7 linked regions of the Macaca fascicularis genome follow. The protein of the gene in region 1 purifies or fractionates together with the protein of each later gene. This does not show direct contact. Links are inferred from orthologs where the notes say so. Each region holds a gene or a part of one and is shown on either strand. Other genes may lie near its edges.

Evidence for each region.
Region 2: the proteins of ASF1A (region 1) and IPO4 purify together in Homo sapiens (affinity purification with mass spectrometry; 4 studies listed by BioGRID and IntAct, counting the BioPlex papers as one, with this or other methods). This does not show direct contact. The link is inferred for Macaca fascicularis from reciprocal best matches to the Homo sapiens genes ASF1A and IPO4.
Region 3: the proteins of ASF1A (region 1) and CHAF1A purify together in Homo sapiens (affinity purification with western blotting; 3 studies listed by BioGRID and IntAct, with this or other methods). This does not show direct contact. The link is inferred for Macaca fascicularis from reciprocal best matches to the Homo sapiens genes ASF1A and CHAF1A.
Region 4: the proteins of ASF1A (region 1) and TONSL purify together in Homo sapiens (affinity purification with mass spectrometry; 4 studies listed by BioGRID and IntAct, counting the BioPlex papers as one, with this or other methods). This does not show direct contact. The link is inferred for Macaca fascicularis from reciprocal best matches to the Homo sapiens genes ASF1A and TONSL.
Region 5: the proteins of ASF1A (region 1) and UBN2 purify together in Homo sapiens (affinity purification with mass spectrometry; 3 studies listed by BioGRID and IntAct, counting the BioPlex papers as one, with this or other methods). This does not show direct contact. The link is inferred for Macaca fascicularis from reciprocal best matches to the Homo sapiens genes ASF1A and UBN2.
Region 6: the proteins of ASF1A (region 1) and NASP purify together in Homo sapiens (affinity purification with mass spectrometry; 6 studies listed by BioGRID and IntAct, counting the BioPlex papers as one, with this or other methods). This does not show direct contact. The link is inferred for Macaca fascicularis from reciprocal best matches to the Homo sapiens genes ASF1A and NASP.
Region 7: the proteins of ASF1A (region 1) and UBN1 purify together in Homo sapiens (affinity purification with mass spectrometry; 6 studies listed by BioGRID and IntAct, counting the BioPlex papers as one, with this or other methods). This does not show direct contact. The link is inferred for Macaca fascicularis from reciprocal best matches to the Homo sapiens genes ASF1A and UBN1.

Annotation. Positions count from the first base shown.
Region 1 is NC_088378.1:22,830,573-22,834,268, forward strand, and holds part of ASF1A (histone chaperone ASF1A), read left to right. Parts: intron 1-521; coding exon 522-637; intron 638-3,696. UniProt on the Homo sapiens protein: Histone chaperone that facilitates histone deposition and histone exchange and removal during nucleosome assembly and disassembly.
Region 2 is NC_088381.1:92,003,074-92,007,289, forward strand, and holds the start of IPO4 (importin-4), read right to left. Parts: upstream 2,842-4,216; 5' UTR 2,813-2,841; coding exon 2,744-2,812; intron 2,663-2,743; coding exon 2,576-2,662; intron 2,448-2,575; coding exon 2,368-2,447; intron 2,282-2,367; coding exon 2,240-2,281; intron 1,823-2,239; coding exon 1,693-1,822; intron 1,606-1,692; coding exon 1,426-1,605; intron 1,178-1,425; coding exon 1,112-1,177; intron 1,011-1,111; coding exon 909-1,010; intron 823-908; coding exon 739-822; intron 484-738; coding exon 319-483; intron 215-318; coding exon 161-214; intron 4-160; coding exon 1-3. Other genes in the region: TM9SF1 (transmembrane 9 superfamily member 1), read right to left, coding at 3,440-3,833. UniProt on the Homo sapiens protein: Nuclear transport receptor that mediates nuclear import of proteins, such as histones, RPS3A, TNP2 and VDR. Serves as receptor for nuclear localization signals (NLS) in cargo substrates.
Region 3 is NC_088393.1:5,141,879-5,146,174, reverse strand, and holds the start of CHAF1A (chromatin assembly factor 1 subunit A), read right to left. Parts: upstream 2,948-4,296; 5' UTR 2,807-2,947; coding exon 2,755-2,806; intron 1-2,754. UniProt on the Homo sapiens protein: Acts as a component of the histone chaperone complex chromatin assembly factor 1 (CAF-1), which assembles histone octamers onto DNA during replication and repair.
Region 4 is NC_088382.1:154,152,217-154,156,647, forward strand, and holds the start of TONSL (tonsoku-like protein), read right to left. Parts: upstream 2,885-4,431; 5' UTR 2,827-2,884; coding exon 2,802-2,826; intron 2,688-2,801; coding exon 2,592-2,687; intron 2,486-2,591; coding exon of another isoform or gene 2,422-2,485; coding exon 2,279-2,421; intron 1,710-2,278; coding exon 1,526-1,709; intron 1,200-1,525; coding exon 1,070-1,199; intron 786-1,069; coding exon 614-785; intron 525-613; coding exon 410-524; intron 1-409. UniProt on the Homo sapiens protein: Component of the MMS22L-TONSL complex, a complex that promotes homologous recombination-mediated repair of double-strand breaks (DSBs) at stalled or collapsed replication forks.
Region 5 is NC_088377.1:180,910,626-180,914,801, reverse strand, and holds the start of UBN2 (ubinuclein-2), read right to left. Parts: upstream 2,905-4,176; 5' UTR 2,608-2,904; coding exon 2,140-2,607; intron 1,957-2,139; exon of another isoform or gene 1,633-1,956; intron 1-1,632.
Region 6 is NC_088375.1:189,135,859-189,140,318, forward strand, and holds the start of NASP (nuclear autoantigenic sperm protein), read right to left. Parts: upstream 2,935-4,460; 5' UTR 2,833-2,934; coding exon of another isoform or gene 2,774-2,832; intron 1-2,773. UniProt on the Homo sapiens protein: Component of the histone chaperone network. Binds and stabilizes histone H3-H4 not bound to chromatin to maintain a soluble reservoir and modulate degradation by chaperone-mediated autophagy.
Region 7 is NC_088394.1:5,674,198-5,677,893, reverse strand, and holds part of UBN1 (ubinuclein-1), read right to left. Parts: intron 3,191-3,696; coding exon 3,087-3,190; intron 2,392-3,086; coding exon 1,953-2,391; intron 1-1,952. UniProt on the Homo sapiens protein: Acts as a novel regulator of senescence. Involved in the formation of senescence-associated heterochromatin foci (SAHF), which represses expression of proliferation-promoting genes. Binds to proliferation-promoting genes.

The sequences.
Region 1 (3,696 bases):
GAGCCACAAGGGAGGTTTTACTAATAATTTTTCTACTTTGGAGCTCTGTGATTATTTAGATCTCTGCAACATAGTATAGGGCTGCCCTTCCAAAGTGTGTTGAGGAGGACATTAAAAGATGACATACAAAAAAAGGGGGATTCCATAGCCAAATAAATTTGGGAAATGCTGGATTAATGTTACTGGTATTCTTTACTGAAGGATGTCTCAGAAAATTTACTATGCCAGTGTGCTTTATGAATCCTCAAGGTTTACAGCATTTCCCAAGTGTTTGGCTATGTTATCTTGTTTGTGAGGCACTGTCTAGGAACTAGTGTTTCACAAAAGAATATTTTGAGAAACTCTGATATAAAGTATGAACTCTGGTAAGAACTTTATAAAGAGCATTTCACTGCCTTTCTGGATTGCCATGAGAAGCCTAACAGCCAGTAAGTGGCTAAGTGGACATTAAAAGGGTCTTTGATGTCATCTGGTAATGTAATTACTGAATATGAAGTAATGCTTTGGTTTTTTAACCCTAGACTTGGAATGGAAAATTATCTATGTGGGCTCTGCAGAAAGTGAAGAATACGATCAAGTTTTAGACTCTGTTTTAGTGGGCCCTGTTCCTGCAGGAAGGCATATGTTTGTATTTCAGGTAAGATTAATCTTGGTAAATGTGTATGCCACATATGTTTTGAAGTAGACTATATTATCTATTATAACTGTTATCCCTTTCCTTTTGGGTTCAATAACTCTGTTTCTGCTGCATTCACTTTTAATCTGTTTCCATCTTGTTTTAGGCAGTCTCTGTGTCACAAAGGAACTCTTACTTCCTGGTTTTATATGCTGAGAGATGTTAATGTGATGTTTATTTTAGGGAGATGCACAGCCTGCAGTAAACTTTATACTGTATCATGGCACACAGGGTGGTGAATTTTGGGCTCTTCCTGTGAATAGCATCTAAGTATCAGACTTCCAACGTGGCTGTCTAGCATCCCAAAACATGGATTCAAAATATCTAAAACTAACTGGCATTGTCAGTAATATGCATCTTCAGTTTATGGTTTTAGCCACTATAACTGATGATGTAACAAAAACAACTTTATTTCAGCATAATCAGTAGTTAAGCTAGGTTAACAGATATGTTTAGTGGATAGAGATGTGTGGTCTTGGATCATTGGAATGACATTCCAGAGTTTACTAAAGCATCTAATAATCTACATTATCTTATAGAGGACTACTTTTGCAAATTTACTACCCCACTAGGTATTTGTGAGGAGAAGTTCTAGTCATAAAAATTATGTTCTTAGATACCACTGAGAGTATTTGGATCTATACCAAGGCTTCAGACATTGTCTTCTATATTCAAAAGTGTTATTTCTTTTAATCCATGTTAAATTGCTATATGAAACCATTCAATTATTCCTCAATTATGCATGCTTCTTTATAAGGGAGATATTTGTAATAGACCAAAGAGTAACTAGCCATAGGTTTTTAAAACTACTATTAATTTCTGTTACAAGTATTTCAACCCAACAAAGTCCCATCAGTTAAGTGGAACTCACTGAAAAGACTTAATCCAGAAAGAAAATCTAACTCTTCCTATGCCTGACCTCTGTTTTCTCACTTCACAGATGGGACCAATTTAAATGAATACTGTTGGTCAAATAATCCTATCAGAAACTGGCAAAGAATCACTTAGACACATGCTATCTCTAGAGCTGCTACCTTTCCCTCCCCTGTCCTAAATACAGAATTTAGAATCTTGGTTTCCTAGCCATAGTACTTTTGATTAAAAAGCAACAAATAATTTACTGTATCTAAAGAAATAGCTAAGAAAAGCTCAAATATACTAATTAAATATATGAATTAAAAGTGCTGTTAATCAAAGTTGTGTGAGTGCATAACCCTGTAAAAGACATGGGTAACACAATGCCCTGCAGGAGGAAGCACTGCAGTTACAGATACAGGTCAAATGCTGACACCTCTGCTTATTGCTGTGTGACTTTACCTGCCTAACCTCCTCCCTTAGTCACTCCAGTCTTCTATAAAATATGGATAATATTCTATCTCATTAAAATGTTATGGGGAATAAAACAGTACACTCAACTCACTCATAAATAGTGCCCTATTCCTATAATTAGAATTACATTTTTATTCTCTTAACTTCTTGAAATTGTTATATAAAAAAGCAGGACTTGCTTTGACCCACAGGCCTGGGGAACCCATACTTTACTGATAATTCATGATACAGTAAAAGAAACCTGGGTTGACATGTACTGATATACCTTTGGTTTTTTGTTTTTTTGTTTTTTTTTTTTTTTGCTACTATAAGAACTTACAAATAAATGCCTTGTTATTGAAACAAACCCTGAAAATCTTTTGTGTTTGTTATTAAGCATACTCCTAAGCTTTTGGCTGAAAGTGCTATAGGAAAAAAATGTATTCAAAAGCATTTCCTGCCAGTGATCTTCACGTAGTTTTACCTTGGTGTCAGTGTACATGTTGCAAAAAAGAACAGAGGAGGCACAATGTATATTCAGCCTGAAGGTTTTGCAAAATTCACCATTATCAACAGAAAGAGACTAAATTACAGCTTTTGTTTTGGGTTTTAAAACTGCTATAGTAATCTCCTGGTCTGCCACAATTTTGCCTCTCTAAATGGTTAAACATGTCTTTCTTTGAATGAGTCAAAGGCTACCAGGAAGATGTCCAGACATCTGCCTAGTATTGCTAGCTACAGTCAAAACAAAGATCTCTGCTCATCACTTCTGCATCCTAAATTATTTGAAAGGCTTGCAAGTTTCTCTACTCAAATTTGCTCAAAATGAATCCTTTTCAAATTGTAAAATGCTTTTAAAAAAATGTTTTATATTTACCACAGATTTTAAAACAGAAACATGCCTAGAACCAATTCACTGAAGGGAAGCAATATGGGGGAAGAGTTCTCATAGCAGTACTGAACTATTATGTATTTCCCATCTCCACCCACTTCCAGGTATATTAGAATCCGTTTGGGTACACTGGAAGTAATCTAACCCCTCTGTGCAGGGGTGTGTAGAATCTCTAAGACAAACAGCATATTCTCCAGGACAAGGCTGGCTGTCCCTATCCTGGTGTCTCGCCAAAGAGATCATAAACCCCTTTGGGGCAGGAACTGAGTTACCGATGAATTCCAAAATAATAAGTGCTCAGAGCTGAGCCACACATGAGATTATAAAGATGAACTGGATGGGACTCCTGCCCTGGATAAAGCGTAGCATCTAGAAGAGAAGACTGAAAAATAAACATGTTTAGATCACAGGGCATACATTCTTAAAGAATTTGTGACAAGAAATATCAGCACATAAAAAAGGAATCTATTGATTCTACCTTCTGAGTTAGAAAGGGCATCACTGAGAATACACTCAATGTAAGCTCCAAAAAATATTAAAAGTTGAATTTTTCAGGATGTGAGAAAAGGACCTTTCAGGCCAAGGGAACAGTATGTTAGAAGCACAGGGGGTGAAATACTTCTTTTTTAAATTTGTTTTTGTAGAGATGGGGTTTCGCCATGTTGCCCAGGATAATCTCAAACTCCTGGGCTCAAGTGATCCGCCCACCTTAGCCTCCCAAAGTGCTAGGATTACAGGCATGAGCCACTGTGCTCGGACAGTGTGAAAGATTTATCACCAAGTTTTAAAGAACCTGTGTAATTCATATCTCTAGAACAAG
Region 2 (4,216 bases), on another chromosome or scaffold:
CATCTAGGGAAGCATGTGGCACGCTTCTGAAACCCCAGAAAGAGCCTGCCCATTCCTGTGGAAATAGACCTTCACACCTCCCAGGGTCTAAACGTCCTTGGCCTCAGGGGACTAGGCACACTTGGAGGTAGGGACACCAGAAGGACAGAGCCACACTTACCAGCTGGGGACACAGCTTGTCGGGGGGCAGGTGTAGCGCCAGCATGTCCACAACCTAAGATAGGATGGGGAGACTTACTTTGCTCGACTCCATCTCTGCCTCCCCAACCTCCCACAGCCACCTAACACCTTCCCCCTCTGTCCTGCCCCACATCTCACCTGTACAGCAAAATGCTTGGGAGTCTCCCCCATCAGCTCAATTTCCAACTCTTCCTCTTCTGAATCCTGGTCCTCAGGATCCAACTGGCCTGGCAGGGGCTCAGCAGCCATAATGGGGAAAAGGGTGTGTAGCAAGGGTGGCAGGAGACGATTCTTCAGTAAGGCCTTGACAGAGAAGGTGGAACAGTGTCCCTAAGAATCTGCTCCCAGGATGGGCTCACATTAAAAATTCCAGTCTTCCAGGCCATAAAAGGTCCGACAGAAAATTCCCAATCTCCCAGGCAGGAGCTGGGGTGAGGCTAGGCCAAGGCTTGAACCCCCACAGTACTTTAGATACCCTGAGATGAACTGAAAGTCCCAGGAGTGAGACTAAGGGTAGAGAGTGGGTGGGGTGATGTGTGTCAATGGGCACTCACTCACCTTGCTCTTGACTTTGACCAAGAAAGTGAGGCAGCAGAGAACACGTACGCGTATTGCATTGCCCAGGGCCACATTTCTAGCCACCTGTCCAGAGAATAATAAGAATCAGAGACAGGGAAGGAAAGTCCCAACAGAGCATGTAGCAGGGGCCATGTCCACTCCAGGCTCACCTCCAGGCAGAATGTGAGGACCTCAGAGAGGTAGGGGGTGATGATGGGCACCTCTGACTCCAACAGTTCATCCAAAACCTCAAGGGCCTCACAGGCCTTTGCCTGACAAACAAGGCACAAGGTTACCATGCTCTTCTTCAGTGGGCCAAGCTGGTCACTTTTGCACTCTTCTTCCAACAGAGCTCCTGCCCACCTGTCCTCACCTCATCTATGGGGATCAGAGTCTGCACAGCCACGATCAGCTTGGGCACCAACATCCGAGAGAGAGGCTGAGGGACACATCACAGACAGCATGATGCAGCCTAATCTCACACCCCAGCAGCTGACAGCTTCCTCATAGCCTGAATTGCGAGGAGGAGCCCAGACATAATAGCCAGGCCCACCTACAGCATCCCCTCTCAATTGTCAGGAAGGGCCACAGGCAGGTAAAGAATCCAAAGCAGTTTTGTAACTTTTACAGATGAGGACATGAAGGCCTGAGGAAAGGGAGTCAAAGATACGAGGGCCCACATCTCACCACGTCTTCAGTGCTGAGGTAGGGGGCCATGGTGGTCAGAGTGCGCAGGGAGTAGAAGAGCAGCCCAGGAGAGCCCACCTCACCAAGAGTCTCATTCAGAAGCCGAAGCAGCTCCCGGTGGTGGGGTTGGAAGGCCTCGGGCCGGGAGGTCACCACCACACTTAGCAGCAAAAGCCCCATCTGTCCAAGAATAGAGGATTGGAGAGCAAGCTTACATGGTCTATCCCACCTCTTAGTCCCTCCCTCCTGCCAACCATGTGATGGTACCTCTCTCTCTGGGCTGTGGGGGCTGTGGGTACTGTGCTGAAGAAGCTGCAAAAGCTGTGGCCAGGCCTCCAGGCCTTCCTTTCGAAAAATGGTGGCTGAAAGCTGGGCCAGGCTGAGGCTCACACAGTGCCTGCAAACAGGAGAGATCTCCTCTATCACTCTCCAATACCTTCCTCTGCACACAGTGGCCAGGCACAATGGGGCAGCCAGGAGAGAAACTTTCAGGAGGTGTGGGCACAGGGTCTTTACCAAGTTGGGACACATGAGACAGCAGCTCAGAGGGAGCCCAGCAGCACTGCGGGCATGTAATCTGGTAAGTTCAGTCTTACTAGCCTGAATTTCAGTCTTATTCTTCTGACTTGAGTTTGGCAGATCATAGTCACCCTTCCTCAAGAACTTCAGTCTTCAAAACAGCCTTAAAATTTTCGCTCCACCTTGGGTCTAGAACTGAAGTCCCTGCCCCACAAGTCCCAGCCTGGAACTGAAAGGGAAGGCAGAAACCCCGACAAGGTCGTCAGGATCCCGAGAAAAGGGGGTAGGTACTTACTCTGTTTCTCTCTGCAGGGCCGTCAGGATCAGGGACTTGAGGCTGGAACACAGTGGGCAGGTGTTTGGTACACAGACTGCCCAAGAAAAGTCTCCGCCTGGCCCCGCCCCAACCCAGGCCCAACCCACCTCTCCCGTTGCTCCGCCGCCAGCCGTCGCCAGCGGGTGTTCAGTCGTCTGCGGGTCAGCACCGCCGCAAACTGGCGGATCTAGGACGAGGAAACAAGCACGTGGGGGTCCGGGCAGGAGGGTGCTGAGCGGACCGCAGGGGGCGGATATTGGGGCTTGACCAGTGGCGTACAGTGGGAAGCTCGGAGGGGAGAGTCAGGGGTCTCACCTGGGGGTCGGCCGCCGAGGCCAGCAGGTCGCAGAGAGCCGGCAAAGCGGCGGGGGCCCGAAGAGCGATCTGGAGCTGTTCCGTGGCCTGGGGGGAAGCTAGGGGTGAGAGTCGGGTCTTTCCCGCAACCTCCCGCTCGCCCTGGCCCGGTTATGCCTACTCCCGTACCCGACGGATGCGCTCGGTGTCCGGCAGCAGCAGCTCCCGTAGGAGCTGCTCCAGGCCGGCGGGCTCCATGGCAGCAGCTGAGCCGCCGCTACTGGGCCGAAAAGGGGAGGGGGAGGGACAGCACGTGGAGGCGCTGACACCCACTTCCGGCGGAAAGGGCGTTGCCACACGCCCCGAGGGTTGCCAAGGTGATTCAATTCACTTCCCACAAAGAGGTCCGACTCCTCCACTTCCGTTATGCTGAGCACCGGCTGAGTCGCGGAAACCCAGCTCTGGCAATGTAGGTTCCCCACGCCGGGAGTTCCCAAGTTGGGTTGGAGAACTCAAGCTTCGGGCATTCAGTGGCCAGCTCGGCTTTCTAAAGGACCGTGCCCTTAACCGCGGGGCTGGAGTTCCTATATCCAGACCAAAACCTCCAACTACATGATCCTTTTTCTTAACAAATTTTATTTTGATAATTGTAAAAAGAAAAATCAGGACCAAAACTAAAGGCAACTTAAAAATTTCAAATATATACTCCTTATGTAATAGAGATTTATAATTTCCAGGCCCTCTCTGGGGAAGGAAGGCCCAAAGGGCAAAGGGGAAGGCAACAATGCCATCACACAATTCAGTCAATCAGAAGAGAAGCTGGTAGGAGAGCTCAAGGAGGCATGAAGAAAGGGAGAGAACAGCAATACTTCTGCCACACAGAACTCAGTCCATCTTGAGGTTAACATAGATATACCGGATGAACTTTAGGGAAGAAAAAAAGGAGATGGTGCCCAGCATGAGGAAGAAGACATAACCAGTGAGTAAGGAGTAGCCAAAGAACTCTACTGTCTGTACTGCCCCAGACATGTTGGAGCGCCGGGCATAATAGAAAACTGAGTAGAGAAAGATGAAGAGGCCAGTGGAGCCAACACTCAGCACAGATCGCCACCACCAGCGGTAATCCTCCCCAGACAACTGGAAGTAGGTGAGTGCAATGGAGATGCAAGCCCCCACACTCAGCAGGATGGCGAAGACAAAGAAGAGGATGCCGTACAAAGTGTACTGCTCCCGACCCCATACTGTGGCAAAGATGTAGTACAGCTCTACAGAGATGGCACTGTGAAGAAAAGAGATGATACACAGCATTAAAGGGCTGTGCACAGTGGCTGGGCTGAAATCCAGCCCCCCACCCTCTCCCATGTTGCTGGGTCATTGTGAAAAGTGAGTTCACTCCACTCTCTGCCCCAGATCTCCTGGCTTCATGGGGATTTTTTGCCTATGATTAGCTGCTCTCACTTCAAGAATATCTTCCCTAATAGATTGAGGGCAGGGATCTTATCCATTTTACTTTCCACTTCATTCTTTGCCTGGCACAAAGAGGTATTCAACAAAGTAAATGGATCATCAAATGGGCTTTAAACCCCACATGATGTCCACAGACACTAAAGTCAGAAACCAGGAAGGTGAAGGGGGAGATGTCTCTGGAGGCCCTTATAAGTG
Region 3 (4,296 bases), on another chromosome or scaffold:
CGATCTCAGCTCAATGCAACCTCCACCTCCCGGATTCAAGTGATTATCCTGCCTCACCCTCCCAAGTAGCTGGGACTATAGGCGCGTGCCACCACCCCCAGCTAATTTTTGTATTTGTAGCAGAGACGGGGTTTCACCATGTTAGCCAGAATGGTCTCGAACTCCTGACCTTGTGATCTGCCCGCCTCGGCCTCCCAAACTGCTGGCCACAGCTCCTGGCCTCAAAATGTTAATAGTTCGAGAAATCCTACCCTAGACACTGTCATGTCTTGTTTTATTTTCTTTGTGGCATTTAATCTGAAACTTTCGTGTTTATTATGTCTCTCCCTAAACAAAATGCCAACTCTATGATAGCAGAAAGATTTGTTCCATGCTGCACCTATGGTACCTGGTTAGGGTCTGGAATACATCAGAAAGCCAGCTAAGAGAGAAACAGGAACTGTTTCATGAAATGAAAGTGGAATGAGTAAAAGTAGGGATGAGAGAAAACATCGGATTACCTATTTCATTCACATGATCCCCAAACATCCTCCTCCAACCCAAGCCCCCACACCACCACCAAATTTGTAAAATTAGAAAAGGGATCCTTTCCTTTTTAAAGAGAATTCATGAAGGTACCACAATTTAAAGCACCTGGAGCATGCCAGGCAGGAGCTGAAGTGCTATCAAGAGATGATAAGACAGAACATTTTCCTGCAAAAAAAATCTCAAGAAAAGCATCTAATAATATCAAAGCAGATGCCGAAGTGACCATAAATAGCACCGAGTCTTTAGATAAATACCTTAAACAGAGTAAGTTTAGGAAGTTCACACTTACCAGGACATCTGGCTTGGAAAAACCTAGTTATTTTGGTTAGTCTACGTATGTTTTATAAGCGTTATATGAGTATTTTTTAAAAGCAGACTGGAGCTTCCTAAAAAACTTCATCATCCATACATGAAACCACCCCACCCTCTGCCCCAAGCTTAGCGAATAAGTAAAGGTACTGAGAAAATTCGTTTCCTTTCTAGTCACTTCAGAGAATATCATTCTCAAGTTTCCAGTTACCAAAAGACATGGATTTCTACACCCAGCTGAAGGATATGCTTTTTAGTCACTTAACTTTATTTTCAGGACAATCACAAAGATCTATTTGTGTGGTTTTGAGTCACTAGCTTTGATGCAAGTGGAACAGAAACAACCTCACTAAAAACAGGACCCCCCTCATTAAAAAATCCTGTATATAAAACGGACACTCCCAATCCAGGGATCCAAAGATACACACAATTAACACATATGTGTGTATAAAGTTACTAACTGCTCTTTATTCTGCGATTACATCCTAATTTTATTTGGCACTAAAATATACTTTCCTTTCATGATAGTATGGTCCTAGCGAGTAGCAATTTTTTTTTTTTTTGAATTAAATATCCTGGCCAGGCATGGTGGTTCACACCGGTAATCCCAGCACTTTGGGAGGCCGAGGCGGGTGGATCACTTGAGGTCAGGAGTTCGAGACCAGTCTGCCCAACGTGGTGAAACCCCGTCTCTACTGAAAAATAAAAAAATAGCCAGGCATGGTGGTGCAAGCCTGTAATCCCAGCTACTCAGGAGGCTGAGGCAGAAGAATCACTTGAACCGGGGAGGCAGAGGTTGCAGTGAGCTGAGATCCTGCCACTGCACTCCAGCCTGGGCAACAGAGCAAGACTGTCTCAAAATAAATAAAATAAAATAAAATAAAGTTAAACATCCTGACTTAAAACATCACAGCTCCAGGACAGTACCAACTTTATATTAATTTCATGTCTCCGTGAAATCCCAAAGGGTAGAAGGAACTACAGCCACGATTTTCAACCAAGGAGGAATCTGCTGCATAGGGAACACAGGGCAATGGTATTTTTGGTTGTTACTAAGAGTTGGGGAGAGGGGCTGTTACTGGCCTGCAAAAGGCGGAGACCAGGGATGATGCTCAGCACCCTGCAGTGCCGTGCCCAGGACAGCAACAAATATCAACACTGCTGAGATTGAGAAACTGGACTGGTGTCCATTCTAGCCCTTCATTCGTTCACATTATTTAGTGAGCACCTACTATGTGCCAAAGCGTAATGCCAAGCGCTGCCAAAGCGTTATGTAATGCAGAGTCCAGCAAGGGAGAGGAGCAGTCTGGTCTTCCTTGGTTCACCCTCCCACGTTTCGGGAAGGCTTGTTGTGGGATCCAAAGACCCCGTTCCAAGGCACAGGGAGGAGAAAGTCACGGTGCTTATCAGGCAGTAGCAAGAACTTGGGAGTCCCAGCCTCCTGGCCATCCCCACCATCCGGGTCTCTTACCCGGGCTTGCCCCGACCCGCAGAGGCATCGGTCCCGGTCCCCGAGCTCGTGTGAGCTCGGGCCTCAGTTTCCCCACCCGTTGCAAGATCCAACATGGTCAAGGGACACAAACGCACCCAGTAACCTTCAGGGCAAGCCCTTTCGTTTCCCTGGGCCTCAGTTTCCCCTCTCGGCTCCTCCGACCCGTCGCCCCAGAGGGCCCTGGAGGGACGAACTGACCCAAAAGCGCCGGAAACAATATGGTCGCGGCTACAACAATAACGTCAAGGAGGGTGCCCCTGGGGACGCCAGGCCTTCGCTGGGGATGAGAAAACTCCAGGGGGTGAACGCCCGGCCCACAGGACCAGGCTCGGCGCCGGGAGGCCCGTCCGCCTCCCATCGCCGCCTCGGCCCGTCCAGGCCGCGCGCCGCGCCCCCCCTTCCCCTCGGCGCGAGCCCGAACCGACCTGCGGTGGCTCCCCTGGCGCCGGGCGCCCCGCACTCCGGCTCCTCCAGCATCACCCCGGCAGCGGCTCGAGCTCCTCTCAGGCGGCGGAGGCGCGGGCTCCCCTCAGGCGGCCGCTGCTCTTCGCCCTCCCGCCCGCGCCGCAGCTGCTGCCGCCGCGGCCGCCGCGCTCGTATTTGGCGGGAACCGCGACTACCCCAGTGGTCCGCGCGCTAATTGGGCGAGCCCGGGTCACGTGACGGCCCGCCTCGGGAATTGAGGAGCGCCGGGGGCATCCTCGCGAGAGCCGTGACTTCTATTCCTCCCAGGGCTCGCCCATTGATATTTCCGCGGGGGACGGGGCTTCCCCTCGGAGGCCTGTCATTGGCTGGGAGGAGCTGCCCTGCGATTGGGGAAAGAAGGTGTCAAGCTGATTGTCCTGGGCTGTGACTGGCTGATCGCGTGGGATAGTCCCTAAGAGGAGGGAGGCCCAGGCTCTTACGTCACCAGGAGAACGTTTTACGCAGGGCGCAGATGACAACTTCAAAGTGGGATTTAGATGAGGAACCTGGAGTTTTGAGTTTATCCTAATGGGACATCGGCTAAATATAGCAACAGCAATTAAAATTATAAATTGCTTTCTACAAGAACAATAAAACGAAGTCTGGGGAGCGCTTCAGACGTATTTGACATTCAGTAAATAACCTGTAGAATGAACGAAATGGACGAAATGGTTTCTGGTTTAATCCTCGGGAAATTGGCACATGTGTATTTCTCTGCCTAGAACAATCTTTTCGCAGCTCTTTTCCTGGATAATTTATACTTTTCAGATCTTATATCGGCACCCCAGGAAGCCTTTTCTTCCCCATCTTCCCCAACCCTGACAAGATCAAGTGCCTACAGCACTGTTCTTTTTCTTAAAGCAATTACAGCTGTGTCTTTGTATTAGTTTGTTATTTGACGAATGAATTAATTTCTGCTTTTGTCATTAGTTCTGACGAGGTAGGACTCATTCCTCACTGGAACCCCAGAACCTGTTAGTAACTGATCATATTTACCAGGTCAATAAATATTTGAGTGAATATATAAATATTTGATTGAACTGTGTAGATCAAACAGATTCAAAGCCTCACACAAAACAGAGAACTTCAGTGTCAGCTTGTGAGTCTAGAAACAGGCTGACTGGCTGGCTTGCTTGCTTGCTTGCTTGCTTTTCTTTCTTTCTTTTTTTCTTTCTTTCTTTTCTTTCTTTCCTTCTTTCTTTCCCTTTCTTCCTTTTTTTCTTTCTTCTTTCTTTCCTTTTTATTTCTTTTCTTTCTTTTTTCTTTCTTTTTTTTCTTTCCTTTCTTTTCTTTTTTCTTTCTTCTTTCTTTCCTTTTTTCTTTCTTCTTTCTTTCCTTTTTTCCTTTCCTTTTTCTTTCTAAAGTGTTGGGATTACAGGCGTGAGCCACCGCACCCAGCGGAAACAGGTTTTCTTCCACACCAATTTAATCTCAGAAGGAGAGGTGAGCAGAGAAGATTGGACTTTAGCCCAAGTTTGAAATTCTATTGAAGTAGATTGGAT
Region 4 (4,431 bases), on another chromosome or scaffold:
TGCCACCTGCTGTTCCACCCGGGAAGCTAGGGGAGCAACTACTGTCTCCAGTTTGCCAGTGAAGATGGTGGCTGCAAAATAAAAGCCCAACTGGTCTCCTGGCCGCCCTTTCAGTGCCCCTGACACACTGTGTTGAGCTCAGAGAAAAACGGGGGTTTTCTCCTGTCAGGAACTAGGGCACCTGTCCCTCTTGCGGAAGCTGCTGCCTCCAAGGACAGGTGCTCATGCCTCCTCTGTGAGGGAGGGAGCTCCGTACACACCTGGCAGGACTCCACGCCCCCCTGGGCTCGCCCCTGCACACAACTCCCGGGGCCCCACCCCGGCCCCAGGCTCACCATGCGGGAGGTTCACCCCCCTCACCCCCCCCCCACCCCACACCCCCGGGGCCCCACCTCAGCCCCAGGCTCACCATGCTGGAGGTTCTGACAGACGGCTGCTCTCTGCACAGGCTTCTGGGAGCCCAGCCTGTAGGCCTTCTTCAGGGCTCGCTTGGCAGCCAGAAAGTCTCCCAGGTCTTGGAGGACCTGGAGAGCAAAGGACAGCACGGTTTTTGCAAAATCCCCAAGGCCCAAGTCTCCAGGAGCCTGAGCTCGGAACCACACACAGCGGGTACCTGTGCGATGGCCACGCAGCACTCGCTCTCCATGAACCGCTTCCTCATGGTGTGCGCACACTCCCGGGCACCCTCCAAGCAGCGCATAGCCTGGGAGTGCTGGCCCGCGCGCCAGTGGACGGTGCCCAGGTTGTAGCGGGCGCGGAACAGGTCCTCGTAAAGGTGGTTCTGCCTGCAGAGGGGTGATGGCCTGAGCACCTACGAGCTCCTGAGCACCCAGGAGCGTCCCACCGGTGATAGCTGCTGATGCCACACAGGCCCCAGCCCTGCCATGCTATGGTCTCAGGGCCCTAACCATGCCTGGTCTTCGCCCAGTGTGAGGCACAGGTGTGAGAGGTGGGGGATGAGGCCCAGCCAGGGTGCTCTCTCAGGAGGACCCTGGGAGAAATACTCCCCTAACTACTTCCTCCAGGAACAAGGGACTCCACTCTCTCCTGGGGTGGGGTGGGGCCTTACTCCGCAAGGAAGATGCTCTTCCTGAAGTAATCGTTGCACAGGGCTGTCTGCTGCAGGCTCTCAAAGGTAAGACCCAGGTTGAGGTAGAGGCGGGTCCTCATCTCATTCAGCTCTCCCTGAGCCAGTGTCCCTGGAAGATGCCCCCCACTCAGCCACTTTCTCCCCACATGGGGTTTCCAGCTTTGGGCCCCATTTGGGGCCTGTGCAGTGCCTCTCCTACCCTCTCCCTCCTCCCGATGTTGGGGCAAGGGTCCTGCTGCAGACAGAGCACAGAGTGGATAAAGAGCCGAGGATCTCCAGGGAAAAGGTTGCGGAGGGCATGCACCCCTCACACAAGAGCCCTGCAAAGGGAGGGCCCCAGAAGACGAGATCGCCCAAGGAGGCTGCGGGGGTGCTGGGCTGCAGCCTCTTCAGCCTGCAGTTCAGGAGGCAGAAAACGAGAAGGGGCCTGCCCACCCTCCAGCTCCTCATCCACAATAGCCAAGCTCTTCTCAAAGGCAGCCTGTGCCTGCAGCAGAGCATCCCTCGACTGGCAGTGGTCATAGATGTCCAGGTGGGTGCGGCCGATGGTGGCCCAGGCCCTCTGCAGCTCCGTGTGGTTGCGCAGGGAATGTGCTAGCTCCAGGTAGTGGTGCTGGTGCTGAGTGTGGAAGGAAGTCACTGCTGTGAGCTGACCCCGCCTCAAGCAAACCAGCGCTGCCAGATTCCCAGAGACCCTGTTCTTGCTAAGGAAAGACTCCTGCTCCCCTTAACCCCCACAGAGCAGGCCAAGGTCGGCCACATGCCCCTCCTCTGCATGCCAAGGCCTCTCTGTGGTGACAGTGGCTTCACGCTGTATGCAGCCAACGCTGTCACGTGGGGAGGGGCGGCTGGGGATTGGTGGGGTGGGGGTTTGCAGTCCTGCCTCCAGCAGCCAGGGTCAGGGAGAGCTTTCGGGCTGGGGCCTGACCACCCCCAACACAAACACAGCTAAAATAACATTCATTAATGGTTTCTGGTGCCAGGAAACCTACTCCTGCCCCAGTCCCAGGAAAGGCTGGGGGGTCCCCACTGGAGGACTGGGCCGGCGCGGTGAAGTTAAGGCTGCGTCAGGCCAGGTGTCCCTTCCAGCCCGAGGCTCCTGACGGTGAAGACCGGGCCTCCCTCCTCAGAAAAGGGCTCCAAACAGAGGCCGACCGGGCTGGGCGAGGCCAGTGAGGGCGCCCGCACCTGCAAGGCAGTCGGGTAGTCCTCCATCTCGGCCAGGCGCTCTCCGATCTTGCGGTGGGCCACGGCACAGCCCAGGGGGTCGTCAGCGCTCTCCCGGAGCCGCAGCTCCTGCCAGTGCTGCTCCAGGGCTTCGGCGTAGCGGCCTAGGCGGGGACACAGCACGGCCTGGCAGGCGTCGCGGGTGCGAGGGCGGACCTGGGGCGGCGTCTGCGGGAAGAGCCCGTCGACCCCCGGCCCCCGACCCCGGCGCGGGCCCCAGCCCCCAGCCCCCAGCCCCCGGCCGTGCACCCCGCTTCCTGGTCCCAGCGCTCACCATGGCCGGCCAGGAGCTCCCCCAGCTGGTGGCACAGCGCTGCCTCCTCGCGCCGCTGCCCGGCCCTCTGCGCCTTGGCCTTCGCCTTGCTCAGCTCTGTCGGAGGAAGAGGAGAGCTGAGCCTCCGCGGCGGGATTCGGGGCCGGGGCCGAGTCCCAGACCCTCCCTAGCCTCCGTGCCCCCGGCGCAAGGGGCCCCCGAGGGACTCACGGCGAAGCTCGCGATCCAGGCTCATGCTCGGGTCGCCGCGGGATCTGGACTTCCCGCGCTGCGCCGCGGCCCCGCCCCTCGCCGCCGACACGCAGGCCCCGCCCCTCGACGGCGGCGGTGGGCGCGGGGCATGCTGGGAAGTACGGTCCGCCCGCGACATCCTCGAAGTTCTAGTGTGGGAGGAGCTGGGGCGGGGACGCGGCGACAACTAGGGCGTCGACCCGAGGAGTTATCTTCCCGGACGCCGAGGTTGGCCCGCGCGTGGAGCCCTCTGCCCTGCCCGGGGAGTGCCTGATGGGGACCCCGTTCCTCCTCGCAGGAGGCGGGGACACGGGAGGCCGGGGTCGCAGCGCGCCCTGGGTGGGCTCTTCTGAACTGCAGCCCGCGTGCCGCCCGCGCCTCTCAAGGTGGACGAGCTGTGCCGCCGCCCCAGTTCCTCCTGAAATTCACACACAACCTGCTCACACGCGCAACTGTGAAAAACGCACGTAGGGTCCAGATAGAAGACTGACGATAAGTTCACGAGCATTTGGCTGTGGGGACGGAATAAGGTGCGCTCCTCCTCCACAGAACGCAGTGGGTCACATTTGGGGACTCGGCCCCAAGGAATGTTCTGGTAGGGGAATGTGCTTTCCGTAGTAAACAAGTACCGTTTCAGCAACGTATATGTCAGCTGTATTCTCGGAAGAGTCAGTGAACCTGCGCTTAAGCTGCAGAAGTAGCCCGGGCGCACTGGCCCGCACTGTAATCCAGGCGCCTTGGGAGGTGCAGTCAGGAGGATCGCTTGAGCCTAGCAGTTCGAGACCAGCCTGGGCAACATAGTGAGACCCCCATCTTTTTGTGTGTGTGCGTGTTTGTGTGTGAGTCTCGCTGTGTCGCCCAGGCTGGCGTGCAATGGTGCGATATCAGCTCACCACAACCTCCTCCTCCTGAGTTCAAGCGATTCTCCTGCCTCAGCCTTCCAAGTAGCTGGGACTACAGGCATGTGCCAGCATGCCCGGCTAATTTTTGCATTTTTAGTAGAAACGGGGTTTCACCATGCTGGCCAGGCTGGTTTCAAACTCCTGACCTCGTGATCCGCCTACCTCGGCCTCCCAAAGTGCTGGTATTATAGGCATAAGCCAGCACGTCCGGCCTGATACCCCATTTTTATTTAAAAAAAAGAAAGGAGGGAGGGAGGAAAAGAAAGAGGAAGAGAGGGCCAGGCGCACTCTTCCTGGGCTCACGCCTGTAATCCCAACACTTTGGGAGGCCAAGGCGGGCGGATCACGAGGTCAGAAGATCGAGACCATCGTGGCTAACACGGTGAAACCCTGTCTCTACAAAAAATACAAAAAATTAGCCGGGCATGGTGGCGGGTGCCTGTAGTCCCAGCCACTCGGGAGGCTGAGGCAGGAGAATGGTGTGAACCTGGGAGGCGGAGCTTGCAGTGAGCCGAGATCGCACCACTGCACTCCACCCTGGGCGGCAGAGTAAGACTCCATCTCAAAAAAAAGGAAGAGAGAGAGAAAACGACTGCAAAATTATGTCTAGAGTTCTATGATATGGGGCACCCAGGCCTCTAAAATACCCTCGCTGTCCCCCATGACCTTGAGGACCAAATGCCTGCCATGCCTTGGGTCTCTGACTC
Region 5 (4,176 bases), on another chromosome or scaffold:
TTTACTTAAACATATGTTTTCTATGCTTTCTTGCATAATAAGGGTATTCACTGGCAGCAATCACAGGAAAATGTGGCAAATCTTTGTTGCAAAGGTGATTATATACAATGGATTTTGTTTTGTTCAGAGGTATATGAAAAAAGATAGAAGGTTGATATACAATGAGAAAATTGGGCCAATAGACACCTACATTGTTAATAAGTAAACAGAAAAATTAAATGGAATTATTCCTCTTTCTCCCATTACACGAAAGTAGTAGTTCTGGTGTTACCAAGTTAACAAAGCTAGGGTGTCAAACTTTTTTATAATTAAATGATACACATCTATTATTAATTTGCCATCGTGTGACTATTACAGCATAAATAGGGACATAATAAAGGTCTTTGTAGTTCTACCGTGACTTACATTTTACGTCATTTTGGCAGAATCCTCTAAACTATATGAGTTAATATTAAGAAATTTTGTTTTACTAAGAAATTATATCACTATGGAAAGAAGTACTAATAAAATTACATACGTTTGTAAAGTGAGGATAATAGATTTTACCCCATGGAGTTCTGTAGGACTACTAGAAAAACCACGTGCAGTGCTTAGAACCGTGTCTAGCACACAGTAAGAACTCAGTAAAGGTAGTTATTGCTATGTATTTTTTACACAAAGAGAATGCTTCTCTCCTGCAATTTATGAAAATTACAAAAACTGCAAACCAACTTAGATTAGCAGCTCAAATACAGTGTTTGGAAAATGCTCCAATCCAATATTTTTAATATTCTTTTGGGAAAAAAGTGACATCACATTTATAAAGAGGGGGCACTCAAGTGAGTCTAAAGAGCAAAATGTTATGTGGAAGTGACTAAAGTGATCTCTACCTTTAAGCAATTCATTTTGGTTTAAAACATTTTGTAATGATTGGACCACACAACATTTCTAAATAATGATCAAAACATTAGCTGGCCATAAAGTAAACAAAAATCTAGTGAAACTGTTCAACATGATACTTTGTGACTAAGCAGTCAGTCATTTTGACCATAAAGGTAGTTGAAGATGAAAAAACAAGTGACTTCTGGAGTCCATTAGACCCAAGCTAAAGCAAAGCCTAATAACGGGCATAATTGCTAAGCAACAGAGAAAAACTGTTCTCTTTCTTTACTGTTAATCTATCATTTCCTTTTCTAACTTCTGAAGATCCACCAACCCACAACAATAAAAATTACAATTACCAACATAAGCCCTATCCTTTCTCCATTGTTCACCTCTTACATCAAAAGCATACCTATATATTTTCAATTGTTTTAAAAAATTCAAAGCTGAGATTTTTCTCATCATCCTCCGAAAATTACAAAGGCCGAGTACAATGTTCTTCTATAAACTAATGATAATACATTTAAATAATATGACGGGTAGGTGTCAAATAAAACAGGAGACACCTTCCCATTCAATTACAATATGAACAAACTCCACAAAAAAGGAAAGCTAAAAAGGTTTTCCAATACCAACACGAGAGAAAAATTAGTAACCAGATTAACTAACCCACTTCTCCATTCCTAAAGTGGGATCCTTAGTCTCTGAAAACCTTTGATTATTCTTAAATTCCCTTCGATTAAGAAAAATATCACAGGCACGCAAGCACACCTCAGCAGCCACGGCGCCCAGCAAAACAAATAGTGATGAGGATGAGGATGATACGAGAGGGGTTACACAATCTCTCTGCTTCAGACTGGGGGGCGTGTCCCCCAAGGTTTTCTCTTCCTTTCTACTGGAACGACAGCTGTAGCGCCACAGGGAGAACCCAGCCACACGGCCTGCAGGGCCCCAGGATTTTGTGTGGGGTGCAGAAAGGAAAGAAGGAAAATCTGAGGTTCCGAAAAGTGCACAAGAAAACAGGCTCGGCGCGGCGTTGGGAGCGAGCGCCGGGGGTTTGGGGATTCGGTGCGGCCGGGTGAGAGCCTCGGCCACCCCAGGGAGTGGAGGAAGCAGCGCTCACCGCCCCGTCCACCCGCTCGGCCCCGGCCCCCCGCACCCCACCCTCGGGGCGACCCGGACGCGCTCGGTGGGCGTCCCAAGGTGCAAACCAGCTGGGGAAGACGGCGGGTCCTGAGGCTCTCGGGGTCTGGGGCAGGAGGGAGGAATCTTCTGTACCCGTTGTTCTCCGCACAGCAGCAGCTCCGGGTAACTGAACTCCACGCAGCTCTCGTCGGTGGGGTCCTTGAGCACCAGCTCCAGGCGCACCGTCTCCCTCGGCGGCCGCGGCGGCTGCTCAGCCCGGGAAGCCGACTCCCGCGGCGGGGGCGGCTGCAAGGGCAGCTGCGGGAGCGGCGGCGGTGGCTCGGGCCGCGGGGGCTCCCGCTGCAGCGACATGGGCGGCTCGGCGCGGCTGACCTCGCGCTGGGGGAGCGGCTTCTCCCGCGGCGGGGGCTGCGCGTCCGAGCGGGGGGCAGGCTCCCGCGGGGCCGGCGGCTCCGCCCGGGCCGGCTCGCGGTACGGCTGCGGCTCCAGCCGGGGGGGTTCGCGGGGGTACTCGGGCTCGCGCTCGGGCCCCGGGTACTCGGCCTCGCGCCGCCGCACCGGTGACAAGCTAATGAACGCTACTCTGCGCGGCTCCGCCATCCCCACTGTTCTGGCCCTCTGCTTTAGCTCGAGCCGGCGCTCGCTTCTACGCCGCGCTGCGTGCCTGCCCGCCCTTCCTCTTGCTCTCCGTCGCTTTTCTTCCCTCCACCACCCTCAGCAGTCTCCGCCGACGCCACGGTGAGTGCGGACCGCGTCCCCTTCCCCGCTACTACGTTCTGATGGGCTTCACCGCCATCGCCAGGGTCGCCGCGGCCGCCATGTTGGATCCCCCACATAAATAGAAGCAGGCCGCTGAGCGGGCGCATGCGCACAGAGGAGACGCTCGCGTCCACTGTCGTGGCTGTTGCTCAGTTTTCCTCTTTTCCTCCCAACAGTCTGGCGTCCAGACAGGTCGGCGGAAGTGACGACATGGCTCGGCCTGTTTCCGTGGAAACGGAGACGCCGTCTGCACCCTTTCTCAAAGGGAGGGTTCTGGGGTTTCCCGAGCAGCTTCCTATTCGTACCCGGAAACCAGAGGCGCTCCGGGAGCTTCCCGGGGCGAGCATCGGGATGTGCCTGAGACCGACCTAGCCATGGCGCCGGGTCTCCCGCGCTGGGTTCAAGGGAACTGGGGTTGTTAGCTGATTATTCAAGGCGGACTCTGGGCAAAGGTAGACAGACGCGCCGGCCGTCGTGCCTGCCAGGCCTGTGTCCCCGTAGCCTTAAGTATCGAGGGAAAAAAGGAAGTGCCCACCTTCAGCCCGACTAGCCCCAGCGGCTTCCCTCCCGAAAGCGCAGGCCTCCCCTTCCTCGACCTACTCTGGTTTCCCTCGCCCGGCCGCAGTGGGCGTTGCGTGGGGCAGGGTCATTAAATGTTCAATAACGCTTTGCAGTTGGAAAATTAACAAGCAGGTGAAGAGTTCTGGGCTCATTCAGAAGGCCTAAACTGTTGAAATCACAGAAAACTTCTTAAGAGGGTTTGGTGGTATTTCAGGAAACGTACTGTTTAAAATAATGCTAAAGGACCCATTTCAGGTTGGGGAAGGAATTGATTGGGCACGCCCCATAGGCTCACTTGTAATTAATTAATTGGAAGGTCTGAAAGGATGAGAATTACTGGCCATTTTAATCCATTGAATAAAAAGTAAATTTGAGGGGTCGCCCTTCACATCCAAGCCTTCTGTTAATTGCATTAACTGGATTAACTGTTGAAAGCTCTTTTATTAAGTCTGTGACGTCATAGACAAATTCTGAGAGGGTACTATTTTTTCCTCTCCTATTACTTTCCCTACTTGGACGAAGATGGTGATGAAATCTATGATTCCAAAGATCTCTCCCAACTCTAAAACCCTATCTTTTCTCCTCGGCACCATGTTTTACCTCCGTTATCTCCTTCCCCATTGCTCCTTTTCTGATTACGAATTCGGGTCTCATTTTTAGATTGTCTTTGTGATACTTAAATGACCTGCCTTCAGTCTCTATCCCCGCCAGTCTTGAGACGGGGTCATATTAATATCTCTAAAAGAGTTTTTATTATATCATTCTCTGCTCTGGCTGCAACTTACCTACAAACTAAGTTCTATGAATGTATACTCATATTCAATATCCTCCACAGTTTAGCTCAGAGAC
Region 6 (4,460 bases), on another chromosome or scaffold:
TTTGCAGATGACAAAACTGTGGTCCAAGATCACTACTGAAGCAATGAAGCTAGTATCAAAGCCAACTGTAAGCCAGGTGAGGTGATGCATACCTGTAGTCCCAGCTACCCAGAAGGCTGAGGTGGAAGGATTGCTTGAGACTAGGAGTTGGGAATCCAGCCTGGGCAACACAGTAAGATCCCCATTTCCTAAATTTAAAAAACCTGAACTGAGGTTTATTTCTCCTTCCATTTTTTTTCCTTTCTACTGGTTCGGAAGTTATATTTATTCTTTCAATGTTTATCCTCGAAGTATAATGTACATTCTTACCTAAAGTCTAAATTCAAGTCATTTTCTTTAACCTACCCTTAAACATGAGGACCTTATAAACTTTACTTCTAAATGTCCCCACTAACTTACTTAACTGAGGCACATGCTTTCATTGTTCTCTCACACTAATTAGATGGGGAAACGAGGGAATGAAATGAAAATACCAGCCAGGGTTGGTGGCTCACGCCGGTAACCTCAGCACTTTCAGAGGCCCAGGTGGGTGGATCCCTTAAGCCTAGGAGTTGGGAGACCAGCTTGGGCAACATGGTGAAACCCGTCTCTATAAAATAAATACTAGAATCAGCTGGGTCTTGTGGTGTGCGCCTGTAATCCCAGCTACTCAGGAGGGGGAAAATCACTTGAGCCCAGGAGGTAGAGGGTGCAGTGGGCGATGATGGCATCACTGCACTCCAGCCTGGGTGACAGAGACCCTGCCCCCTAACACACACACACACACACACACACACACACACACACACACACACACACACCCCCCCCCCCACATATAATTGCTCAGTTTTAGCTTTCAATTTATGGTGTGAGGAACTACTTAAATGGTTTGCTTTCTTGTAGCCACATATAAACTTTCTGTACGTATAACCTGCCAGGAAGCTGAGACTAAGTTCACTAATGACCTAACTCTGGCAAGACACAGGGGACCTGCAAGAGAGATTTGTTGCATACTTTTATCTCAAAAAAATAAAAATAAAAATAAAAAAACACATACACACACCTGGTCCTGCGCAGTGGCTCACACCTGTAACCCCAACACCTTGGGAGACCAAGGCGGGAGGATTGCTTGAGCCCAAGAGTCTGAGACCAGCCTGGGCAACATCAAGACAAAAACTTAGCCAGGCGTGGCGACTGTAGTCCCAAGCTACTAGGGAGGATCACTTCAGCCCAGGAGTTCGAGGTTGCAGTGAGCTATGACCACAACACTGCACTCTAGCCTGGATGTGAGAGCCAGACCCTGTCTGCAAAAACAAAACAAAAACACACACCTGTCAGTGAAATACTGACTGCCAGAGCTATCCAGGAAACATTATAAAAAGGAGCTCTTTTTATAACAGCTATAGTACGACTCTCAAGCCCAATCTATACTGCTCATATCGAATCAATGGGGAAAGAGGCAGGTAATGGGAGTTTGAAATTAAAATTATATTTCCCATGAGTTCCCAGATGATTGTCAGGGTGACTTGAGAACCACTGCTCTACAAGAATGCAGAGAAAACAAAAGGTGGTAAGCAAAGATGTAAGTAAATCTCTAACTATAAGCAAACTAAGACATAATCATGACAGAGTGTAAGCCTATAGAATATCAATTTAAAAAACTTCACAGCAACCATTCCGTTCACAGGGAAGGCAGCTAACCTCTAAAGCGCACAAGATTAGAAAAAGAAAAAAAACAGAACCAGATCACTAAAAAAATAAGGCAAGATTGGGAAATCAGACCTACTGTATGGGAAACAGCACTTGTTTCCTTGAAGTCATGTAGTGTTTCCCTCCACTGTTCAAAAAATAGATTACGCCTGAGTGGCATTGTGCTGCTTTCAAAGCAATCCTATCTTGTTTCCCTCCAGCCCTTCTCCACTTCGTGCACACTACTGCCGATTCACCTAGCAACCAAACAGTGCTGGTGAGAGCTCCAGACGGCGCTTCCTGAAGACGCTTTGCGTCCGGATAATGTTCCCCCGAACAAGGCAACACCTCCGAAGTCTAAAGAACTACAATCCTCCCCACCACAGGCAGGGGCTCATGGAGTCGAGGGGAGCGATAACTATCTCCCAGCACAAGACGTGAGCGAGGCGTGAGGGGCGGAACTAGCCTCACCGGTCCCACAGAATAGTCCAAATGCTCCCGCTGGAGCCGCAGCGGCCCCAAACAATAGAGTTTTCCCGCCTCCTCAAGGCCCCGCCCCCTGCTCCAGAGCCGGCAAGGGAAGCGAACGCTCGCGCGCAAAACCCCGCCCTCAGCAAGGCCCCGCCCACCCCGACCCCTCAGGTCCAGCCTCCTTCCTCGTGCAGGGGTTTTTTTTTTTCTTTTGGCGCCAAATCTCCGTTGGTTATATTCCTGGGTTATCCAGGGACTCTACCCGAGGCACACGCTGGGGACAGAAGGGGAGTGAAGGCCAACTCGTGCGCCAGGGCCCCGCCTCCCGGCCAACCGCCCCGGGCCGGGGGAGGAAGAAGAGGGGCAGGCGATGGATACAGCCGCCGCTGCCCCCGGCAAGATGGCGGCCGCAAAAAGCGGGGCAGGGGGCGCCAGCCGACCGCCGTTACCGCTGGTGCGCGAGGCTCTCAAGCCAGAGGAGGACTGCTCCAGTGACCGGGCCTTCCCGAACAGCGACAGCTGCTCCCGGGAAGGCAAGTACGCCCGCCCACCGGTCTGTCCCTTCTCCGGAGCCCCCGTCCATTTGCCCTCCCCGCGGACTGGCCAGTGCCTCAAGCTTTCCAGTCCCGCTTACTTGTTGGCAGAAACCAGCTCCGCGGCGACGGCGGCAGTAGCTGTGGACTCAGTGGCCATCGTTCCCCTGAGGTGGCGAACCAGCGAACGGAATAGAGCCTGTGAGAAAAACAGGCAATTTGGGACGCCAGAAACTCACTCAGGGACAGAAAATGGCAGATTAGAGACCCCGCGCGGCTGGGGCCCTCTTATATACTAAGGCCCTTCGCCCCGCCCATCCACTTCCGGGTCCTCCCCCTCGGGTTTAAAGGGCCAGGACTCAACACCGCCCCACCGTCCGCCGCAGGCCTACCATTATCTAAGGACACCTCCTGCCCTCTCCATATGGCTCCGCGGCGTTGTTTCCCTCCCTAGCCCGCCTTGTCCGATAAACAGCAACTTCCTGCTTCTCCACCAAGTCGCATAAGAACTGGAATCTTGCCACTACAACTCCTGACAGGACGCCCCTGCGGCATCCAGAGACAGGGAAGCCAGTGCTGCTCTCCATGTTTAGGGCGAGTAGCCGAGAGTCTCCTTCCGGCCTGGATACTGAGGAAGGTGACTTAGACTTTCTCTCCGTCCTCTGAGTCGTAACGGACGGACACGCAAGAGCCGAGGACGGGTACTAGCAGCAGCGACTAGAACTGATCTGGGTGAGATCTGGGCCTCAGCAACAACTGACGCAAGAAGATTTTGTTCTAGGATTGGCTACAGCTGAAACTACCGCGCTTGATTCAAAGCTCGGGGCTGCAGCGGAAGGCGGCTGGCTCCTCCCTCTGAACCCGCCCCCTTTGGCTGGCCCAATCCGCTGATGCCATCGTCTTAGGCCCTACCCAGACTCCAAATCTGGCTGGTTTAATGCTCCCAGCGCTTTTCGTCCACTCCTGGCTATGATTTGCTGAGTGACTACTACATGTAGGGGTACTGTGATTAGACCCTTTAAAGCTATTAGCTATCTTGTTTAATCTTAACAATGCTACTAGTGAGATCGGTGTTAGTCTGTTTCTTAGAAAAATAAGCAAAGGGGCCAGGCGCGGTGGCTCACGCCTGTAATCCCAGCACTTTGAGAGGCCTAGGCTGATGGATCACGAGGTCAAGAGTTCAAGACCAGCCTGGCCAAGATGGTGAAACCCCGTCTCTACTAAAAAATACAAAAAGTAGCCGGGCGTGGTGGCGGGCGCCTATAATCCCAGCTACTCCGTGAGGCAAGAGAATATTTGAACCCGGGAGGCAGAAGTTGCAGTGAGCCGAGAGCTGGCCACTGCACTCCAACCTGGGCAACAGAGCAAGACTCTGTCTCAAAAATAAATAAATAATAAATAAATAAAATAAATAGGCCAAAGTTCCAGCCTGGCCAACATGGTGAAACCCCGTCTCTACTAAAAATACGAAAATTAGCCAGGCGTGGTGGCAGGCGCCTGTAATCCTAGCTACTCAGGAGGCTAAGGCAGGAGAATCACTTGAACCCGGGAGGCAGATGTTGCAGGGAGCCAAGATCTTGCCACTGCACTCCAGCCTGGGCAACAGAGCGAGACTCCATCTCAGAAAAAAAAAAAAAAAAAAAACAGGTCAAGGAGGTGTGACTTGTTCAGAAAGTTGCAAGACAAGTCAGTTATGGAAAGCAGTGTGCCTCATTTCCTGCAACTGGCTGACTGAAAAATAACTGGCAGGCTAAAAAGCTGCACTTCCTCACACCTGGAACATCATCC
Region 7 (3,696 bases), on another chromosome or scaffold:
GAGAAGGGCAATGCGAAGACTCGAATATCAACTTCACATTTGAATATCATATTTTCAAACCAGAACATCAGCCTCTCCTGGTCACCAGCTCCCCACCGGGCCCCAGGCCCACCTTGACTATGGGATCCTGAACCATGTGTTTGTTATGCCCAAGAGCTAACCGACACTTGGCAATCACTGAGGCAGGGCAGGTTGCCTAACAAGGTGTTTACTCAGTTCCGCTTTCTTGCACCAGAGCCCCATGCTTTTTCCGGTTGTATCATTTTGTTGACACTAAATCTGTCCCTATCTTTCCCAAGAAAGTGAAACAGCAAGTCTTCACACTAGAACACAACCTATGGCATGAGTGGAGACACAGCCAAGAATTTGGTTTTGACTTTTCTCTAATGAGCAGCTATCATCACATAGACCTTAAATGATTTAACAAGACTTTCAGAGACTATGAAACAATTTGATTACAAACCAGAGGATTAAAAAGAGCAAGATATAATGTTTGTTTAACATGAATTCTGAAAGCAAATATAGGACAGTAGGCTCAAACACACCAAGTTCAGATTCAGCTACTTCCACCTCAAGGTCATACTTAAGGGATACTCCAAACCCCAACATGGCACAATTCATTTAAATCATTACATTCAAATACAATACTTGAATTTCCAATGCTGAACACAAGCTGACAAAGATGAGATAGAGATTGGAACAGATACTTTATTTGCTTTATATACGGCGTTCAAATAGTTTTTGGAAGTGAGAAAATCATTTTAGCAGTGGCTGACAATTTACCCTGCCCTAAAACACAAAGGATACTATACATAACAATGCTTCTAAAATACTGTAAGAACTGCTGGTTTAAAACCTACAGCTGTAGATTATGAGTGCCACCAGAGCTGCATCACAAGTCCTGATGCTTAAGATAAAATGTTATTTTAACTTAAAGGTAAATGATATTACAACTAATGATCCATGCCAGGTTTACAGTTAAGAAATATGTTACTTGAACAGACAATTCTCAGAGCTTAGGGATCAATTCCCAGTCACTGGAGGAAAACAGCAAGAGCTGCTATATCCTAAAGGTGGTGATGGTGGTTGGTTTGTTTTTTAACAGAGTCTCGCTCTGTGGCCCAGGCTGGAGTGCACTGGCGCCATCTCCACTCACCACAACCTCCGCCTCCTGGATTCAAGTGATTCTCCTGCCTCAGCCTTTCAAGTAGCTAGGATTATGGTATGCACCACCCTGCCCAGCTAAATTTTTGTATTTTTAGTAGAAAGAGGGTTTCACCATGTTGGCCAGGCTGGTCTCGAACTCCTGACCTCAGGTGATCCACCTGCCTCGGCCTCCCAAAGTGCTGGGATTACAGGTGTGAGCCACCGTGCCCCGCCAATGGTGGGTTTTAACGGGGCATGGACGGCAATTAAAATTAAGTTACTTTTCATTCATCACATTGGAAGCATTCCCGTAATCACTACCTAACTCTAGATACACAATGCAAAGGAGCAACTGAAACCTAGTGGCAACGAAGCATATACTCTATGTGCAATTCATATGTTTGCAAACTTTTGTGAATTTGCAAAACCTTCGGAAGAATTCTAAGATGAATCTCTGCCTCAGCTGCCTGTTGCCAACATCATCCATCTATCACATGAAAGAAAAGATGCCGAGTGGAAAACTGACAGAAAACAGAATAATCTGACAGAAAACAGAAAGACAACCATCTCCCCAGAAGAAAGCAAACTTTCCAGAAATGAAGAAATGAAGAATGGCCTAAAATGATGCCTGACGGGCAAGGCTTGCACTGTTTTCTCCCTCAGAATGAGAAGACAGTTTGGAAAAAGCTGACACCTTAACTGCCAACTCACTAAGGTTTCTCTGGGCGAGCTTCACGCAGTGCAGAACCAACGGCAATCTGCCCAAACTGCTTCCAGGAAAGCCCAGCCGCACTGTGTCACCATACCTGAGCCAGCTCCTTAACGCGCTTCTCCAGGGGTGCTGGCAGGCCTTCGGGGAGAGAAGAGGGCTGCCTGAATTCCTGGTCCAATCCCACCCCAAGGGAATCACTTCCATCATCCATATCACGGAAGGGGCTTCCTTCTGGAGACTCACTGAGCAGATGCTCCAAGTCCAAATCCGTCAGCGAGTCCATGGCAGTGGCCGCCTGGAGGAAGTCGTTGTCAGAAGTGGAGCCAAAGAGTGAGAGCAAGGGGTCAGAGGCACCCTCCAGTTCTCGCAGGCCCTGAGCTTCCGCTGATGGGACCGCAACAGGCTTATGCTCCTCCTCCCTTTTTTTCTGAGCCTCTTTCTCCTTCTGAAATTTCTTTAGCATCTCTTTAACGCTTAAAGCCCCAGAATATTTCTTCTTCTTCTTCTCCTTACTGGCATTGAGGGCTGTGAAGCTGCAAGCAAGAGGGAAACTGGTCACTCAGACTACAGGACACTGCCAAAGGGAACTCCAGAGGCCTTCACCCCTGCTCCCAGGGCCATGGTCTCCAGGAGAACCTGTCACAGTCCACCCTGTCATTCCTCCTCCCTCCTCTTGGCATATGGAGCTCGTTCTTGCTGAGACCAAAGCTTGAGAGTTAATACAGGTTAGCAACACAGTGTCACATATGCTAAATTTCCGACGGGTTTTTAGAAACCACTGCCAGGCTGAAATAAAAGGTTGCAAAAAGGGGCAGGGAGAGCAAGAAAAGTATTTACAGGGAGAAAGCAGGAGCAGCAGAGAACAGCAGCAACTTGAAGAGCAGCTGGGGTGAGACCAAGTGAGGAGAAGGAAGCAGGACCACAGACGACAAGGGAAAACAGCAGAGACAGAAGGAGAACTGGGGCAGAGAGGAGCGTCCCGGAGAACGAGAAACATCAGCAGTCACACAGTGACAAGAATAGCTGCCAACACTGACAGTGGAACTATCTGACACACAGAGAGGTGAGCGTGTATGCCCAGAATGGCACTGCGGGAGGCGTGCAGGAGGACAGGAAGGCTAGGCCCTGCTGCCTCTTCCGAAGCTGTGGGGAGGAGGTGAGTCAGCTCCCAGTCGTCCTGCCCTAACAGTTCAGGCTTTATCCTAGCAAAGAAGCTGCTGCCTCTCACCCGGCTTTGGAAAACTTGGACTTTTTCGATTTCTTCTCCTTGTCATAAGTGTCATCTTTTTTCTTCTTCTTTATCTTCTCACCACCTTCCTTCAACTTCCGCTTCTGAGAATTAAAGACAAGGCACAGTTACACGGCTCCCTAACTCAGGGAGCAAGTGCACTACACGGCACTGGCCTTGCTCCGCCCAGGGCACATCCTGAGACCTGTCTCATTTCCTTCATGAACAAAAGCTCTCAGATTGGTCCCTGGACCACAAACCCACAGCATTCCCACCGACGGTGTCTCCTGGAAACACCCAGGGCTGAGACAAAAGTGACCATTCTGGAGCCTGAAACCTTTCTAGTTTGAAAGTTACAAGTGGGCCCTACCTCTTGTTTTAAACACATAGGCAGTGGTAGACAGGTTTTTAAACACACTGATCCTAAGGCTGACTGGTTTTCAGTGGGGTGGCAGCCCTGGGAACTGAAGTCCTCTACACGTCCACAGAAGAGGGTCAGCAAGGGTGGTACACATCCCTCACTCCACACCCTTCCCACCCTTAGGCCACCTCCAGAAACGATCCCTGCTGAGCCTGCTGGGATGTTATGTGAGGTGGACACGATGACCAA